Linked DNA regions of Mytilus edulis. The protein of the gene in region 2 interacts with the protein of the main gene of each other region in a pairwise test. Links are inferred from orthologs where the notes say so. Each region holds a gene or a part of one and is shown on either strand. Other genes may lie near its edges.

What was found. The genes of interacting proteins can lie anywhere in the genome.
Region 1: the proteins of vam6/Vps39-like protein (region 2) and proteasome subunit beta type-5-like interact in a two-hybrid assay, tested with the Caenorhabditis elegans proteins (2 studies listed by BioGRID). The link is inferred for Mytilus edulis from reciprocal best matches to the Caenorhabditis elegans genes vps-39 and pbs-5.

The regions. Positions count from the first base shown.
Region 1 is NC_092348.1:49,873,473-49,877,233, reverse strand, and holds the start of proteasome subunit beta type-5-like, read left to right. Parts: upstream 1-1,318; 5' UTR 1,319-1,347; coding exon 1,348-1,485; intron 1,486-3,761. UniProt on the Caenorhabditis elegans protein: Component of the 20S core proteasome complex involved in the proteolytic degradation of most intracellular proteins. This complex plays numerous essential roles within the cell by associating with different regulatory particles.
Region 2 is NC_092346.1:54,794,263-54,798,023, reverse strand, and holds the start of vam6/Vps39-like protein, read left to right. Parts: upstream 1-1,306; 5' UTR 1,307-1,440; coding exon 1,441-1,513; intron 1,514-3,761. UniProt on the Caenorhabditis elegans protein: Plays a role in vesicle-mediated protein trafficking to lysosomal compartments including the endocytic membrane transport and autophagic pathways.

The DNA of each region.
Region 1 (3,761 bases), on a different chromosome or scaffold from region 2:
AATCACTAGTTAAACTATTCTCATGTATAACTCTGAGATTTGGTATATGGATTTTTATGAAAAAATAATAAGAGCTGAAAGACGAGCACAAATTAGAGACATGAGTAAATTTGATATTCTAGCAATGATTGATAGTAGCCAAGTGAAGAAGACACATTAAAAATTTTGCAAATATATACTGGGACTTAGTAAACAATCTGTCAATATTGCTGCAAGAGCAGAACTAGCTCAGTATCCCATAGATGTCTTTATTAAAGTACAGTCATTGAAGTACTTAGCAAGAATTTCTAGTGATGAAAATAACCCTTTATTATATGATGCTTTCTGTTTATCTTAATGGCTTAGCACTAACGGTATATTTTCATGGTTCTCATATGTAGAAAATATAGCCAATGTAAATAAATTAAACATAAATAAAATACAGGATATAAACTATAAGCAAGAGAAGCTAGAGTTCATTCTCAATTTTTTTTAAAAAAGAACTAAAAGATAGCTTTGAAAATATTTGCTTTGAAAAATTAAAATTAACTAATGAAACCAGTAAAATATTCTTGTACAGTAAAATAAAAACAAAATATGAAATATACAAATACATTTCTAAAAATAGTTTTGAAAATATAAAATTATTATGTAAAATGCGAGTAAGTGACCATTTCTTGGAAATAGAGAGGGGTAGATATAAAGAATTCAAAGAGAAAATAAAATATGTAAACATTGTAATATAAATGCGGTTAAAAATAAAACCCACTTTTCTTAAAATGTAAAATTAATAAATCTTTACGTAATCAGCTTGATAGACAGGCATAGATTACCTTAGCTGTATTTGACACAACTTTTTGGAATTTTGGATCCTCAATGCTCTTTAACTTTGTTCTTGTTTGGCTATATAAATATTTTGATATGAGCGTCACTGATGACTCAATTATACATGTAGCCGAACGCGCGTCTGGCGTACTTGAAATTATAATCCTGGTACCTTTGATAACTATTGACTAGTTTGTGATATCGAAAACTGGTGTAATAATATAATACAATATATAGAATAATAGAAAATTAGAGTTCAATTATAAATGTATGTAAAAAAAAAAATGTAATACATGTCGGTATAATAAAATCGAGTATTGATTTCCCCGGAAAATATACGTCTTCACCGTCGTACATTTTGTTATTTATTTATGACCAGCTGCCTTTGTCAAACAAGAAAATCATTATTGTCTTGATACTTTTAAGATGAAATGATTTTTTTGCTTTTGCTAAAATTGAATATAAAAAAACTTTAAGAATTTAGTATTTGTTATTCATCAATATCATTTTCCAAATATATTTACTGCAGACACTAAAAACAAAATGGCACTTGCTGGAGTCTGTGGATTTCAACAAAATGTTTCAAAGAGTCCTTGCACGCTTGGAAACGGAATTAGCGAAAATCTTATAGATGGAGCTATTCATTCATCTCATAACTTTACTATGCCTAGTAATTTTGATGTATGAATTATTTAATAATAACTAATTTGTTAAGAAAACAACACTTTTAGTCAATTTTGCAAAATCACTGTAAAAATGGTAAATGACTGAGTGGTTTTTTTCAAGTTTGGCACATATATAATAAAGAAAGATAATATTTCTAGTTTTACATGAATATTCGAATTTACACGAGCATCCATACTTGCACTACAGTTCTAAATTGAGTAGAGCACGATTAATTTAAGGGGGAGGGTCAATGGTCGAATACAGGTCCATTCGCACAAATCATGTTTGTTCCTATATTATTGTTCACCCCTATCTCATTTGTACCCACATGTTTACAACCTTTTAAAGGGTTTTGTTGTGAATAAGTTTTTATGGTGCACTAGCATGTTTAGTGAGTGAACATGGTGAATTGCTAAAAAATAAAGAAAATTAGTTTTTAGTCCCCGACCGCCAAATTAAAGTAGAAGGAGACTTTAGGCTTGAACTATGTCTGTCTGTCCATCTGGAAGTCCAGCAAATCAGTTTTCCACACTTTTTTCTTCCTGCTTGAAGATATTGATTTGATATTTGGTGTATTGTTTTACTATGACATACAGATCAAGACGAAGTATGATGTTAACTTCTGATCTGAATAATTGGTGCAGAGTTATGGTCCTTGGGCTCGGAAAATTCACTCAGTAATCAGTTTTCTGCACTTTTTTTCATCATGCTTAAAGATATTGATAAGATATTATAGGTGTATTATTTTATCATGACAAATTTTAACATTTTAAGTTTGAATTTTTTTCCAGTCTGATTTTGTTATGAGATTTACATGATCATATTTTAAGGAAAAGAATTTTTTTTTTGGGAAAAAGGGGAGGTGAATTTTTTTTAGGAGAATTTGGGGGGATTTGCTTATTTCAAATTTCTGAAATTTAAAAGAAAATTATTTGTTTTGGCAAAAAGGGTGGGTGGGGGTCAATATGCAACAGCATAGTGTAAGAGGGTTTTGGATGGGGTTAAATGGTTAAAGAATAATGCCCTTAAAGAATGAAGATTAGAGAAAAACGGGCAAAAAAAATGAAGATTAGAGAAGAAAGGGGTTAATTTTTTGACGATTAGAGAAAAAAGGGGTTAATTTTTGAAGATTAGAGAAAAAAGGGGTCAATTTTTTTAAGATTAGAAAAAAAAGGGGTGATAATTAAATGTTTACAGAATAACAGTCCTGGCCTGTATCAAGCGTGAATATTGTGTTCATTTTTGCCCCAGCTGTTCAGGGTTGGAGTTGGACCCCTGCGGTCGTATCCAGCTGTGCTCAGCGAGGCATTTCATTTCCTTGAAAAGTATTGCTTTAACTCTGACCATACTCTACATCAAATCACTTTTAACATTTTCTGGTGACTCTCCCTGTCCAAAATCATGCATTTCCATTAATCTGACAATCTTGTGAAGAATATAAAGGCTCTAATTACTGACAATGACAGAGCAAAAGAAAATCTTCCCTAGCTCAAACAGTAAGACTACTTTTATATCTGTATTGTACAACACTGTTCCTCCATATGAACACATAGAACCTTTTTAATGTTTATAAGTTTGGATAAGATGGCAGGATCGGCCAGGAGAGGTATTAACGTGTCTTGAAAGTCAATAATTTGATATGTTGTAAGTGCTACAAATGTATATTTTTGTATGTAAAAGTGATTGATTTTAACTAATTATTGGGTGTGTCCTGTAACTTTGTTTCGTAATTGTAAGAAAATGCATGTTCAAAATGTTTTCATTTGATCAAATGTAGATTCCAGAAAATTTCAGTTACATGTTCATGTATGCAAATCGTATGATGAAATCATAATCTTTCAATCAGTTTAGTTGAAGTCTGTATTGTATTATTATTATTATTGAAGTATTATTGTCATTTTGTTTATTTTCTTTGGTTACATCTTCTGACATCAGACTCAGACTTTTCTTGAACTGAATTTTAATGTGCGTATTATTACATGTATGCGTTTACTCTTTTACATTGGCTAGAGGTATAAGGGGAGGGTTAAGATCTCATAAACATGTTTATTAATAACCCCGCTGCATTTTTGCGCCTGTCCCAAGTCAGGAGCCTCTGGCCTTTGTTAGTCTTGTATTATTTTAATTTTAGTTTCTTGTGTACAATTTGGAAATAAGTATGGTGTTCATTATCTCTGAACTAGTATATATTTGTTTAGGGGCCAGCTGAAGGACCCCTCCGGGTGCGGGAATTTCTCGCTACATTGAAGACCTGTTGGTGACCTTCTGCTGTTGTTTTTTCTATGATCAGG
Region 2 (3,761 bases):
GTGTTCCCCATACCCCCTTTCTTAATCTGAAAATGCAAGTTCTATTTTAATAATTTTTTGACCATATTTTGGTCTCAAAGCAAAATGTATTAATTCAGTGTAAGACTTAAGTTTCTAAGGACAACACCAAAAGACCAATATGCATTAAAAGCAAACATGTTATTCACATAGTTAAGTCTGTGGCTTCTGGTTTTTTTTTTAAATCATGATCAAGTTAAGAACAAAATTACTAAATTACAAAAGGAATACAACACTAACAGGATACAGAAGGGCAATCAATGAACAAAAGACAAATAAAAAAGAAACATTGATCCCGAAAAATCAGGGGCTACGTCTGAGGGAGAACATAACTTCCTTCTTGCAAGGCATTCCTTGTGATCACAATTTGATATGGAGTTGAGCGTTTGGTTTTGAAATTTCCTACATTGTAGTTACTGCCCTGTAATAAAAGTGAGGTAAGTGTTCCTGAGTAAATATACCTAAAGTTAAATGAAACTAATTTTCAGACGTTTCCAGTATATTTAAATAATATTTATACTTTTATTATTAAAAGATTAGGGAAGTGTTTCCCGATTTAAAAAAAAAGAAGATGAATTTATGAAGAATCTGATGCCATCCTATACTTTCAATTAGACCTACTGAGTTATTTATTTTTTCAATACTGTGATTGCAAGTCAGGTAATTTATTTTCAAACTACCACAGAACAAAAACCATTCATTTTTTGTGATTATCAAGGCTGAGTTTATATTCATTTTCAAAATCCTCCTGCCCCCCCCCCCCCCCCCCCCCCCCCCCTCCCCAGAATATCAAATTGTTGTCCCCTTATTATGAGCAAAATATAATTATGAAAAAATTAAACATATGCACATTTACATATGCAAAAAAGCTGTACAAAATTTCTCTGGCCTCCTATATATACCTTTGAGTTTTGGAGTTTTTGCGCTTGTAAATATTATTGACTGTCCGACGGACTCACAGACTTAATAAAAACTATAGGGATCCTTTATCCTCTCAGGGTTTCCCAAATATTGGCCAAATTAAGAATAGATAAAATGGCTTATAAAATTTATGAATAAAGAATTAAAGGACCCCTCTCAAGGAGTCGGTTTTCCCAAAAAAAATCTTACAACTAAGATTGATCGTAAGTCATGAACAATTCAGTATACTTGAAAATTTATAAGATAAATCTTAGTCTTAAGTTTTTTTTTGTGAAACTGACTCCAGACACTCATTTGTCTAAATGTATGTGTTAAGCCAATTTAGACCGTTCTTGTCTATGTTCAAGATGGTTACTTTTGGTTTTTAGTGATTTGAGAACTCTTCTCTGTTGGAGACTTGAAATGATTATCACATGAAAAGTAGCAGTAGATGTTTTTTTAGCTGAATTTTGCAACAAAATGCCATAGATTCACTGTATATTTGTGCCATAAATCGTCGTGATGCACGACGCATATGAGGCCATATCACTTCTTGAAAAACTACCGTTAAAAATCGAATCTATAACGTGCCATGGTATGACATGATTTATTTCCTGGGATTTCCTGTTCAATATTTATTGACAGTGTGACATGTTTAGTTAATTTTAAGATGAATCTTCACAATACTTACAAAAATAACTTTCAGATTTAAATAAACACATTCACTTCATATTCCCCCTAAATGTATTTATATGAATTTGATAAAGAGTACGTGATGAGTGCAATTTTTAAGTCTACAGACTGCTTTGATATCTGCTTTCAAGCAATCTGTAGACTTATACCATTGACTCAGGGCTCTATGCCCTCACATCAACCGTTTTATTCTAAACATTCAGCAAAATCTCAGATTCTTATGAAAAGGTAAAAACAAGCAAAAGGATTGAACTTAAACAACTTTCCTGTAATGTTCTTCTCATAATCTTTATGTTTGATATTTCCCTTGACTTATATGCATGTTTTTAACAACACAGAAAATCAGAATTAAGCAGTATATATATTTAGTGTTTTTATAAATTTAGAAACACATCGGAGGGAATTCCCCAGTTTTGATAAATGCGAGAGTTTTCTGAATTCGGATAATTCTATTTCTTTCATATAATAGAATTGAGAATGGAAATGGGGAATGTGTCAAAGAGACAACAACCCAACCAAATAAAAAACAACAGCAGAGGGTCACCAACAGGTATTCAATGTAGCGAGAAATTCCCGCACCCGGAGGCGTCCTTCAGCTGGCCCCTAAACAAATATATACTAGTCCAGTGATAATGAACGCCATACTAATTTCCAAATTGTACACAAGAAACTAAAATTAAAATAATACAAGACTAACAAAGGCCAGAGGCTCCTGACTTGGGACAGGCGCAAAAATGCGGCGGGGTTAAACATGTTTGTGAGATCTCAACCCTCCCCCTATACCTCTAACCAATGTAGAAAAGTAAACGCATAACAATACGCACATCAAAATTCAGTTCAAGAGAAGTCCGAGTCTGATGTCAGAAGATGTAACCAAAGAAAATAAACAAAATGACAATAATACATAAATAACAACAGACTACTAGCAGTTAACTGACATGCTAGCTCCAGACTTCAATTAAACTGACTGAAAGATTATGATTTCATCATATGAACATCAGGCACAATCCTTCCCGTTAGGGGTTTAGTATCATACCATCATAACATATATGAGAAGAACATAACCCGTGTCATGCCAACAACTGTTTTTAGAATAAATGTGTTTAGTTCCGATGCAAAGACCTTATCAGTGACTCAATATTAACGCCAAAATATGCAATCTTTAATGACTTGACAACAGTATCGTAATTATATCCCTTCTTAATAAGTCTATTCAAAGGTTTTGTAAGTTTCTGAGGTGAATACTGACACCTTTGTGCTTTATAAAGAATATTTCCATAAAAAATCGGATGTGAAATACCTGAAAGTATTAGAAGTCTGCATGTTGAGCTATATTTACGAATGATGTCTTTATACCGATGATAAAATTTAGTAAATGTTTTGACTAGTTTGTGATATCGAAAACCCTGGTGTAATAATTTTTCAGTAATACATAAATTTCTCTCGTTAAAATCTAAAACATTGTTACATACACGAGCGAATCATACAAGTTGAGATATATAAACACCGTAAGATGGTGACAAGGGAACGTCACCATCTAAAAACGGATAATTAACGATAGGAAATGAAAAATCGTCTCTTTTATCATAAATTTTAGTATTCAGCTTTCCATTAGTGATATAGATATCAAGATCGAGAAAAGGGCAGTGGTCATTGTTAGTATTAGCTTTATTTAAAGTAAGTTCAACAGGATAAATTTCATTAATATACATACTGAAGTCGTCATTATTGAGAGCCAAAATATCATCCAAATATCTAAAAGTATTATTAAATTTGTTTATCAGATGTTGTTTCGATGGGTCTTTGCTTATTTTTGTCATAAATTGTAACTCATAACAATACAAAAACAGGTCCGCAATAAGTGGTGCACAGTTAGTCCCCATTGGAATTCCGATAATCTGACGATATACAGAATCCCCAAAGCGAACAAAAATGTTATCTAGTAAAAATTCAAGGGCATATATAGTATCAAAGCATGTCCAATTAACATAGTTTTTTTGTTTATTGCTACTAAAAAATGACCTAAAAGAGTTTGAACATATATATTCACATTCTGATTTTTTGAATGCCCATTTAATTAGGTGTGTGAATTTTTTCTTAATGAGAATGTGAGGCAATGTGGTATACAGGGTAGAAAAATCAAATTTTGA